Macaca fascicularis: one gene and its partners. The protein of the gene in region 1 interacts with the protein of each later gene in a pairwise test. Links are inferred from orthologs where the notes say so. Each region holds a gene or a part of one and is shown in the gene's direction. Other genes may lie near its edges.

What was found.
Region 2: the proteins of CEP70 (region 1) and TRIM29 interact in binary tests that used the Homo sapiens proteins (3 or more experiments, as listed by UniProt). The two-hybrid records come from large-scale screens. The link is inferred for Macaca fascicularis from reciprocal best matches to the Homo sapiens genes CEP70 and TRIM29.
Region 3: the proteins of CEP70 (region 1) and UPF0488 protein C8orf33 interact in binary tests that used the Homo sapiens proteins (3 or more experiments, as listed by UniProt). The link is inferred for Macaca fascicularis from reciprocal best matches to the Homo sapiens genes CEP70 and C8orf33.

The regions. Positions count from the first base shown.
Region 1 is NC_088376.1:41,434,010-41,437,755, reverse strand, and holds the start of CEP70 (centrosomal protein of 70 kDa), read left to right. Parts: upstream 1-980; 5' UTR 981-1,557; intron 1,558-3,343; 5' UTR 3,344-3,437; coding exon of another isoform or gene 3,438-3,446; intron 3,447-3,746.
Region 2 is NC_088388.1:118,999,655-119,003,315, reverse strand, and holds the start of TRIM29 (tripartite motif-containing protein 29), read left to right. Parts: upstream 1-825; 5' UTR 826-907; coding exon 908-1,711; intron 1,712-3,661.
Region 3 is NC_088382.1:154,739,047-154,742,792, forward strand, and holds UPF0488 protein C8orf33, read left to right. Parts: upstream 1-1,398; 5' UTR 1,399-1,421; coding exon 1,422-1,427; intron 1,428-1,515; coding exon 1,516-1,827; intron 1,828-1,993; coding exon 1,994-2,078; exon of another isoform or gene 2,079-2,148; intron 2,149-2,227; coding exon 2,228-2,374; intron 2,375-2,945; coding exon 2,946-3,085; 3' UTR 3,086-3,551; downstream 3,552-3,746.

The DNA.
Region 1 (3,746 bases):
GATGTTTGGCCTCTACAGTTAGGGCAGCCATGCTCAGAAGAGTATGCAAGGGTACCCTATTGTCTTGGAAAAGGGAAGCACTGAGACTATTTGCGATTTGAGAACTGAAAATGCAAATCTGCTAACCATCGTGAGAGTGAATATCCAGGTATAGAAAGCACAGTGGGTGGGCGTAGGTTGTGGTAGGGACATGTTTGTATGGGGCAAACACAGAGATTAAACTTAAGTGTAGTTCCAGCTGCCTGGAAGAATGCTAAGAAGGGTCTGAAACTATTGAGCTCCAAGAGCCCTTGGACCTCCTGATGAGAGACCGTTGGCTGATGCCCTCGATGGGACATCCCTGCTGGCTCCTGTGGGATCTGCATCTACGCACACCTACATCATTTGACTGATTTGAAAAGACAGGTTGTCAACAGCGACACCATGTGGCTATAAGATACAATCAAAATGGTGGACATTTACAGCCTGAGGTAGGGCCTGAAGCTTCGTCGAGATGTGGAAAATGCTGAATCGGAAGAAATGTCATCAACAAACATTTATTGGGGTCCTCCAAATGTCAGCTGCTACAGTGGTCAGCCAGGTCTGGAACATCGAGAACATGCTGACCCGTACCCCAGCAAGAGCTCGTAGTAGCGGCGGGGTAGGGGGCGAGAGAGAGGGCAGTCTCTGGAGGCCAGGTAACCCAGGCTTCACTTTCACCTACGGCCACAAGTATGTCTGACATCTTCCAGGCAAATAAGGCTCCATGTAAGTGACAGGGTACCTAAGGAGAGCGATGGAAACGCCAGCTTGCCCACGACTAGCCGACGCCTGCGTTTGCGATAAGCCCCGCCCCCAGTAGCTGAGCCAACCGGAGGGTGCGGGGCGGACCCAGCTTCCGGGTGAGGCTGGAGAGAATCGTTTGGGGGCGTTCGCAGGCTAAAGAGGGGCTGGCCCTCGACGCGCTCGGGCTCGATTGGCCGCCCTTCCCCGGCGGAGGTAACGGTCGCGGAGGCGGGGCCTGATGTAGTAATCCCAGCCTAGCCGGGGCCGGGCTGGCTGCTGGTGGGAGGCGGCGACTGAGGAAGGTGAGTGGCGCTCGGGGCTCTCAGAGGTGTAGTCGTGAGCCCCTTCTCGGAGCACCCCGGACTTGACCTCACCTGGGCCTAACAGTGGTCAGACTGACCCTTGTCAGGGAGGAGCCGCCTGGGATAGGGTCGCGCCAATTACAAATCCCTGCGTAAGGGTTTGGGGATGGGACAAACCTGCGTGCTAGCCCCAGCTCCCCAGGCTTTGTGTTCTTTGGCTTCTCCTTTAATGTCTCAGCGCCTCGGATTCTTTATTTGTATACTAAAGCTGGTAATTCTCGCCTTACAAAGTGGTTGTGTGGGTTAAATGAGGCAGTAAGAGTAAAGCTTAGAATCACAGCGGGCACAGGTTCGATTTAAGCTGTAGGTAATTACTCCATCCCCCAAAATCGACCCGGACTGAAGCGCCCGTTTTGTGGCAAACAACCGCGAAGGTGGTTTGGGGAGTGAGGACTCGGAGCAGAAGGGGGCGGTTAGGCGAATAGCACAGGTGAGTATCTCTTTCTCTGGTTTATTAACCTCATTCCGGATTCAGGAGACCTCTGACTTTATACAGGGCCTAATAGGAGTTTTTCAAGGTGAAAAATGTCGGAAGGCTAAGACACCTGTAACAGAGAGACCTGAGTTTCCTTTTTTACTGCCACTGTTTTTCAATCAGTGTTTCAATCACTGTTAATATTAAACAGGCCGGGCGCAGTGGCTCACGCCTGTAATCTCAGCACTTTGGGAGGCCGAGGTGAGCGGATCACCTGAGGTCAGGAGTTCGAGACCACCCTGGCCAACATGGTGAAACCACCATGTCTCTACTAAAAATACAAAAATTAGCCGGGCGTGGTGGTGCGCGCCTGTAATCCAGCAACTCGGGAGGCTGAGGCAGGAGAATCGCTTGAACTCGGGAGGCGGAGGTTGCTGGGAGCTGAGATCGTGCCACTGCACTCCAGCCTGGAGAGCGAGGTTCCGTATCAAAAAAAAAAAAAAAAAATATATATATATATATATATATATATGTATGAATATTATATTAAACACTGTGCAGGCATTATCCATATTGGTTTCAAGCCTCTGCAATGAGTTTTGTACTTTAAATATTGCCAAGTAGACTCTGGCCTCCCCTAACCCTGCCTTTTGGGGAAGAGGTGGCTGACTTGGAGTTTTCCCTACAGCTTTTGCTTCAAAGCAAGGTTCTGCCGCTTCATGTCACCTCTCGCGAGACAGAATGATTTGGTTGAGATGACATTCCATTTTAACTCTTTCCTATTTGGGGTAGGTTCAACTCTTTCTTAGGAACATTAAACAGCAAGTTGCCATATTTTCAGAATAGAGCTTTTGCATTTAATAAGGAATAGAGACTTCGAAAGGGTTACATGTTCATTTATTGCAGTAATTTGAAGTATATGCTTTTGAAGACGCTTACAGATTTTGTTGTGATTCAGTTGAGAAGGAACAGTTACTGGCCATGGTTTATTGTCAGCTCCCCTCCCCGACCCCAAATGGTGAAAAGATAATTAAATTTTAAGGTATGGAGCATGTTACAAGGGACTTCAGACCTATAAAGGGCAATTTGGCTGAAACACTCGGGAAACCTAGAAAGTGTCAGAAGATACAATTATGTTTTTGCTTTTCTATGCCTGGCTTACTATGCCATGTACAAGACAACTCCTACCCTCTGACTCCTACCCCCACCATCTTATTTTAAGTGTATTATGACACTAATTAAAGCTGTAGCTTCTGTTTTGGCCCTAGAAGGCATTTGGTCTCTTCCTGTGACTTTAAAAGTTCCAGACCTTTGTCCTGGAAGTAGGGACAGCCTGTAGTGGGGAAAAGGCTGCTGCAAACTATTGGCCTGTTAATTTCATAGAATGGACCTCTGAAAAGGAGGGTTTGGTCACAGGTGCAAATGAGGAGTAGTTTTGTTCCTGTGTTTGCTTTTGTGATCAGTTGTAGTTTGTCTGAGGATGCTTCATTTTAGTATCCTTGCAAATGAGAATATCCTACCTGTGGAGCCGGAAGTCAGAATTGATGATAGATGATGATAGATTTGGATACCCAGCTAAATGTCTTAGCAAGGTAGGGAGAGGAAAGATAAGGGGAGAGAAGAGAAGGGAAGAGGTGTATGGTAGTGAGCTGGGAAGGGCATTAGCAGTTATTTCAGTTGTGCCTGGTTTATCTGTGATTACCAGTACCATGGATGCCTGCTCTGGGAGTAACAGAAGACCATTCTTACTAGGAAGCTGAACATTTCAAGATTTTCTTCTTTTTATCTTTTTGAAACCTAGATGAAGATCCAGTTTCAGACATGAGACTCGTTGGGTGATCATTTCATTGAGATCAACCTGAATGACCAGGTGTAAAGTGCAAGAGTAGTATGCTATGACTGAGGTATGTCTAATGTAACGGATGACTCCAGATGTTGGGAGACCACGGAAAAGTATGTAATTTGTTGAGTACTATACTAGGTTCATTACATATATTTCCTTTGGACTTCCTGATAATCCTATCAGGTAGATATTTTACAACTTAGCAAAGAAGCTGAAGCTCAGAGAGGTTAAGTACCTACTTAAGATAACACAGAAAGCTGATCACCAACTCTAATCACTGTCTCCATCCTGCTGTGTGCCAGGCAATGCTTTATGTTCTTTCTGTATTAACTCTCCTAATCTTTAATTTGTGAGCTGAGTA
Region 2 (3,661 bases), on another chromosome or scaffold:
TAGGGTCATTGGGAGAGGACAGACTCTCAGAAGCCATCTTCCGGTGAGATATTCAGGTGACTCCATGACCCCTCAGCTGAAGAAGGGGCTTTGGCTTCTAAAAGGCTTAGGGTTCAAATCTCAGCTCTGCCACTTGACTTAGGCCAGTGAGTTATCTTCTTAAAGGCCCAGTTTTCTCATCTATTAAAAGGGGGTAATTGAACAGGTTTTAGGGAAGCTCGAATGAGCTTGTATATACGCAATACCTAGAAAAGTGCCTGGAGGTTGGCGAGTAGGGTTCAATAATCAGCAGCCAAATCAAACGGAACCCATCCTTCCCCCTTAAGGTGAAAAGCAGCGTTACAGTCCCAGGGTGGACAATCTTTCCTCTGAAACTCAGGCCCGCAAATTACAAGGCTATTTGACTTGTGTGACCCAGTTAACAGCCCTATGTCCCTTAGGCCTCTGCAGACACCTCACCTTCTGCCCCAGGGGCCTCTGGGTGCAGTGAAGCCTGCCCACCTGTGAAGACAGAGACTCCCGGCTCCCTGGATGAGAAGCAAGTGCGTCAGAGGGAAGCAGCCCAACTGGTTGCTGAGTTGTAGAAAATAATTAAGCTGGGGGAGAAAAAAATACTTCTTTTAAAAATCAGGTTAGGGATGAATGTGTAGGGCGTGGTTCCTGTGTAATTATCTGCTCTGCTGGCTGCGGGGCTGCCTGCTTCTCCCGGCCCGCTGTGTCAGGCTTGTGCCTGTTGCTCCTCCCCTCCTCCCACTCCTCCTCCTCCGCCTACTCCCCCTCCTCCTCCTCACAGGTGTGTCTCTAGGCCCTGTGGCTGCCTGCCCCACTCCCTGCCGAGACGCCAGCCAGAAAGGCCACCTATCCTGAACCCCAGCAAGCCTGAAACAGATCAGCCAAGCATCCTGAGATGGAAGCTGCAGATGCCTCCAGGAGCAACGGGTCGAGCCCAGAAGCCAGGGATGCCCGGAGCCCGTCGGGCCCCAATGGCAGCCTGGAGAATGGCACCAAGGCTGACGGCAAGGATGCCAAGACCACCAACGGGCACGGCGGGGAGGCAGCTGAGGGCAAGAGCCTGGGCAGTGCCCTGAAGCCAGGGGAAGGGAGGAGCGCCCTGTTCGCGGGCAATGAGTGGCGGCGACCCATCATCCAGTTTGTCGAGTCCGGGGAGGACAAGAACTCCAACTACTTCAGCATGGACTCTATGGAAGGCAAGAGGTCGCCGTACGCAGGGCTCCAGCTGGGGGCTGCCAAGAAGCCACCCGTTACCTTTGCCGAAAAGGGCGAGCTGCGCAAGTCCATTTTCTCAGAGTCCCGGAAGCCCGCGGTGTCCATCATGGAGCCCGGGGAGACCCGGCGGAACAGCTACCCCCGGGCCGACACGGGCCTTTTTTCACGGTCCAAGTCCGGCTCCGAGGAGGTGCTGTGCGACTCCTGCATCGGCAACAAGCAGAAGGCGGTCAAGTCCTGCCTGGTGTGCCAGGCCTCCTTCTGCGAGCTGCACCTCAAGCCCCACCTGGAGGGCGCCGCCTTCCGAGACCACCAGCTGCTCGAGCCCATCCGGGACTTTGAGGCCCGCAAGTGTCCCGTGCATGGCAAGACCATGGAGCTCTTTTGCCAGACTGACCAGACCTGCATCTGCTACCTTTGCATGTTCCAAGAGCACAAGAATCATAGCACCGTGACGGTGGAGGAGGCCAAGGCCGAGAAGGAGGTAAATGCTGGGGCCCCTCCTGCTCCTCCAGGCCTGTCCTCTCTCACCCCACCCCTCCGACCTTCATCTTCTCCACTGGAGCTTCCTCGGGTTTGGGGCTTACGTTTCTGCTGTCCTTGGCTCTTTTAGAAAACATTTCTTTCCCCTCATACCCCGTGTCCCCCCAATCCCACCTGGGGATCAGAGGTGGCTCCCCAATCCCCTAATGTCTCAGGAGACCGGACATTTTCTAGATGAGCAGATGGAGACTCAGAAAAGACTGGGGGCCTGACCAAAGTCATAGGATAAATTCAAGTCAGGTCAGAGAGTATGACCCAATAGCACAGAACTCACTCCTGGGCGCTGTGCCTGGCTGGGGTGCTTCTTTCTTCTCCTCCTTCTCCTTCTCCTTCTCCTCCTCCTCCTCATCCTCCCCCTCCCCCTCCCCTTCTCCCTTCTCCCTTCCTTCTTTCTTCCTTCTTCTTTCTTCTTTCTTTTTTTTTGATTTGAAGAAGAGATAATTCCTCTAATCTGAGTGGGTCTGGCCCCTGGGGAATGGGTTGTGGGTGAGGAAAGATACTAGAAAAGTTTGGGGTCCACTGAAATGTCCTTTCTTTTGTCTTTGTAGTTTTTATTTGTGGTACAGTGGCTGCTTGTTCTAGCTGATCCCCAGCTGGTCTCTTGACTTCCTCCACAGCCTCCTTTATCCTTCTCTCAGCTGGGCCCTGTGTTTTGCATGTGTAGTTGTGTGTAGACACACCTATTCCTGCAGGCGGACACTGTTGGGGAAGTTTGGAGTTTGTGTGTGGATGGCGTGTACATGTACAGCTAGTCCCTGACTTAGGATGGTTTGATTTATGATGGTGTGAAAGTGCTATGCTTTCAGTACAGTATTCCATAAAATTCAACACTTTATTACAAAATAGGCTTTGTAGTAGAAGATTTTGCCAAACTCTTGGCTAATGTAAGTGTTCTGAACAAGTTTAAGGCAAGCTAGGTTAAGCTATGATGCTTGGTAGGCTAGGTGTATTAAAAGCATTTTTGACCTATCACATTTTCAACTTACAATGGATTTATTGGTAAATAACCTCATCACAAGTTGAGGAGCATCTGTATATGTGTTTATTTTATGTGCACGTGGGTGTTTTTGTGCCTTTGTGAATGTTTGCATGTATTTGTATATGTGATACGTAAGAGTGTTTGCATGAGTTCTATGTGCCTGTGCCTGTACTTCTATGGGGAGGAGCAGAGGCAAGTGCAGGCCTGTGGATGTAGCATACCTGGGGAAGGTGATTTGAGCAAAGGGCCCAGCTGTGGCCACTGCCCTTTGCCCCACAGATGTGGGGTTCACTCTTCCCTAGGTACACACCTACAGGTGGCCTTCCCGGGGCAAACCTTCCTGACCTCCAAAGCAGTGAACTCCACTTTCCTGAAGAGCTTCTGCACGTCTCAGATCTGGACAGCACAGGATTCCTCCTTGCCCAGGCTTCCTGACCAGGAGGAGCTGGTTGATTACTCTCTCCTTTCATCTCTCACTCACACCCCTGGACAGAAGGGGCTGAGGTAGGGAGGGGAATGTACTCACAGATCCCTTCCAGAAGCCTTGTTTGGCCCAGGAAGATGTTTCCAGCTTCCCCCATCTTCCGACCCCAGTGTGGCCTCAGGCTTCATACTGAGAGATATAGATGGGACAGGGGCCATGAAAGTCATTCTAGGGAGCTTACTTGGGAGTTTAGACAGAATAAGAGGCAATCATCCTCATCACAGCAACTGAGAAATTGCAGAGCCCCAGACAAGGTTTTAGGAAATGTGACTGAGTTCCAGTGCCAGTTTTTGCCTCTAACTAACTGTAAGACTGTGAATAAGTCCTTTCCATTCTCAGTCTCAGTTTCCCAAGGGGTGAGGCTAGATTGTTGGTTTTCAAATTACCCCACAGAGCCATAGCATTCTTAGAAATGTCTTTGAGGCCTC
Region 3 (3,746 bases), on another chromosome or scaffold:
ATCCGCCCACCTCGGCCTCCCAAAGTGCTGAGATTACAGGCGTGAGCCACCGCGCCCGGCCAATCTGCTGAATTTTGGGGGTAATCTGCCACACTGCAGTAAATAACTACCAGCGATGACCAAACTTTTACCCTTCCAGACCTTGCAGACCAGGCAGCTAACACTTCCCATCCCACGGTCTCAGGAAACACCACTTTCCACTCCTGTGTCCCCGACAGGAATCATCAGACAAGTCGAACTCTCACCTTCTCAAGCAACACAACCCACCCTCCTGGCCTAGCCCGCTCCTGAAGCCTCACTCAGTCTCACCTCAGCCCCTACGCAATTCCTCTCAGTTGTCAGGCCTCCATCGGCGGGGGTCGAGTGTTGTGTGTGACCCCAGGTCTCCAGCAAGGTATAGTGGGAGGGAAGCATCCGGGAGAAGAGAGGTGGATTGGCCTCTCCCTCTCCCCCATACCGCCACCCTCCCTCACGCCCATATCCTGTCCAAGGCTCTTCCCGCGTCTGCTTCTGAAATCCCTCCACATCCCTCCACCCCATGTGCCCTACTCGTTGCACAGGAGCAGAGAGAACCGCAGAACACACGTCTACGATTATGCCACTCTTCAGATTTACATCTTGCAGCAACTTCCCACTGCGTTAGAACGGAAGTAAACCTCCCAACTCACAGACCTCACCCGAGCCCCCACGTCCCGCGTCGCCGGCCTCTCAACCGACGGTGCCCTGATCCTCTCGGAGCGAGCGCCGCGGGCTGCGCCGGGTCCCAGGCCTGCGCCTCTTCCCCATTTCCCAGGGGTCTTTGCCGACCACCCTCCTGCGCCACAGCTGCTCAAGTTCTGTTTACTTGCTTTTCCCTCCCCACCAAAAGGTGAGCCTTGAGAAGACACACCCTTGTGTAGAGCTTTGAACTTTTATCCGGAAAGGTGCCGGGCACATAGTCGGTGCCCGGGAGCACTTGCGAGACCGCCCTGCAGCCTCTTTCCGGATCCCCCAGGCACCCCCGACCCCGGCCTCGCCCCACCCTGCCCTCGCCCCAGCCCCGCCCTGCCCTCGCCCCAGCCCCCGCCCCAGCCCCGCCCCGACCCTGTCTCAGCTTCGCCTGGGCTTCATCCCGCCCCAGCCTCGCCCAGCCCCTCCTCTCCTCTCCCCGCCCGTCCCCTTCCCGCCCCCGCCCCGCCTCGCCTAGCCCCGCCCCAGCCCCGTCCCAGCTTCGCCTGAGCCAGGTCCCAGCCCCGTCCCACCTTCGCCGCGCCCCAGCTTCATCCCGCCCCAGCCTCGCCCCTTCCCCTCAGGGCCCCCGCGCCCCGCCCCGCCCCGCCCCGCCCGCGACCCTGCGGAACCTAGAGTCGCAGGCGCCCTCTTGGAGGACGGAATTCGACGTCGGACTCCGCCTCGCGTAGTTCCGGTGGCGACTGCGGAGCATGGCGGTGAGCGGTGTGGAGAAGACGCGCGGGTGGCTGGGCGTCGCACTGTCGGTGGCCCTCCGTGACCCTCGTGCTGCCCCCCTTTCTCCAGGCCCTAGGACATCTTGCCGGGGAGGCAGCGGCGGCCCCAGGCCCGGGTACTCCCTGCGCGTCCCGCAGACACCGGCTTCCCGGCCTGGTTTCCAGCGTCCGGAATCCCTCCACTGTCTGTCTCTGCCCAGGGCAACCCACGAGCAGTAACGCCGACCCCAGAGCGCACCCGTTAGGCGATGAAGGCAGTGCAGCGTCGAAAAAACAAAAGAATAAGAAGAAAACCCGGAACAGGGCCTCTGTGGCAAATGGAGGCGAGAAGGCCTCAGAGAAACCCGCCCCAGAAGAAGTGCCCCTAAGCGCTGAGGCCCAGGCAAGGGCGGGCGTCAGTCAGGAAGGGTGGAATCCCCTAGTGCGAATCCACGGGCACATGTGATCTGGGGTCCGCAGAGTTAAGGCGGGGAGGGGGATGGGATGGGGCCAGGCGCTGTTTTGTGTCCCAGTGCCCTCTCACAGCCACTTCCCCAAATCCGTCACAGGCGCAGCAGTTGGCCCAGGAATTGGCTTGGTGTGTGGAACAACTGGAGCTTGGCCTCAAGAGGCAGAAACCCACCCCAAAACAGAGTAAGGGACCTTTCTATAGAGTTGGGGAATGTGAAGAGTGGCACCGCCTGGCCTGCAGGTGCTGGCAGAGGTGAAGTTGTTTCCTTTGCGGTGGGGCGGTAGGAGGTCAGTAGTAGAGGTTTTCACTAGTCCTTTGTTTTTATTCGCAGAAGAGCAGGCTATTGGAGCAATCCGAACCCTGCGCAGCAAAAGAACGCCCCTGCCCCGGAAGAGGCAGTTGATGCACTCCTTGTTTGGAGACTATAGGGCTCAGATGGAAGCCGAATGGCGTGAGGCCCTGCGGGCTCTCAGATCTGGTGAGGAGCTAGTAACTGGTTGATTTAGGAAGGCCTAATTTAAGGAGGAAGTGCCTAGGGGGTGAAAGGAAGAAGGCCCAGAGCAACAAGGCTGGTGGGGGAAGGAGATGAGCTCAGGGAAGCCTGAGGGAACAGGGAAAGAGCAAGGATGGACCTGTCTCTCCTTTTCCCAGGACTGAACCTGGGAAGCAGCGGGGAGGTCATGGGAGGAGCGGGAAAGAGTGTGACCCTGTGTTGGTCCTGCTCCTGGCTTGGGGAAAGCTGCGTTATGTTTTTGTGTCTTGGCTCTCTCTACTGGCAACGAAGCCATATCCCATAACAGTTTGAGTGCAATTCCTGGAGCCAGATGAGCTAGGTTCAAATCCTGGATCTACCACATAGTAGTACTAACACCTTTTGCAAACTACTGAACCTCTCTAAATGGGCGGTGATAGTAATATCAACCTTACAAATTTGAGGAATTAGTTAATTTATTCAAAGTGGTTAGAATTGTATGGGCAAACATAACTGTACAGGTAATGTTAGCTGTTGTTATTCAGTTCTCACATACGCTGCTTCTCTCCCCTGACAGCTGCTTATTTAGCCCAGGTGCAGCCTGTAGATGGAGCCACCAGAAAGAAGAGCCGAAGGGTCTGCAGGCCTCGCCCTATAGGGCGAAGCAAAGCCACTCTGGACACTCCTGATGAAGAGTTTCGGTTCAATTTCTTTTAGCTTCTCCCCCGACCTGGAACATTCCCCCTCCCTTGGGGTGGTGTAGGGGTTTGTTTTGAGTGCAGAGCCTTTTCAGGACTTCTGTTGGCAGAGAACCCTGGGGTTGGTCTGTCCCTGGCTGGTCCAAGTATTTAGAGCTGTTGTGAAGGTGTGAGACCATCAGATAGGCAAAAGACCCCATTTGTTTTGTGATGAAATGTTCTCTCTTTCAGAACAGAGAGAGGTGCATTTAGAAAATATACAATAAATTGAAGTGACTGTTTGAAGTATTGTAGAAAGAATATTGTACTCAGTCTTTAGGATTAGATTAAGTGGCTGTTGGTAACAAAGATTAGTGGAGAAGCTATATAATTATACACTGTTTTTCACTTTTGAAAGGAATTCCTGTCAAATGGTTTAGTGCTTAATGCTGTTATGTCACATTGCCCTAGTCTTTATTTTTGATAAAATTGGATAACGAGTGAAAGAGTGTGCTGACCACCTGTGTTAGAGGAAGTACAGAAGACGGCAGGGGTCTGGTTCCCTGGGTCCAGTCCCTTGCCTCGATCCTTTGTCCATGTTGCCTTCATTCCTGAGCAGGTGTCATCCTCAGGGAACCAGCATGGCAGCCACCAGGCATGGCTGTCTTCTCAGGAGGAAGGAGCTTCTTGCCCTAACAGTT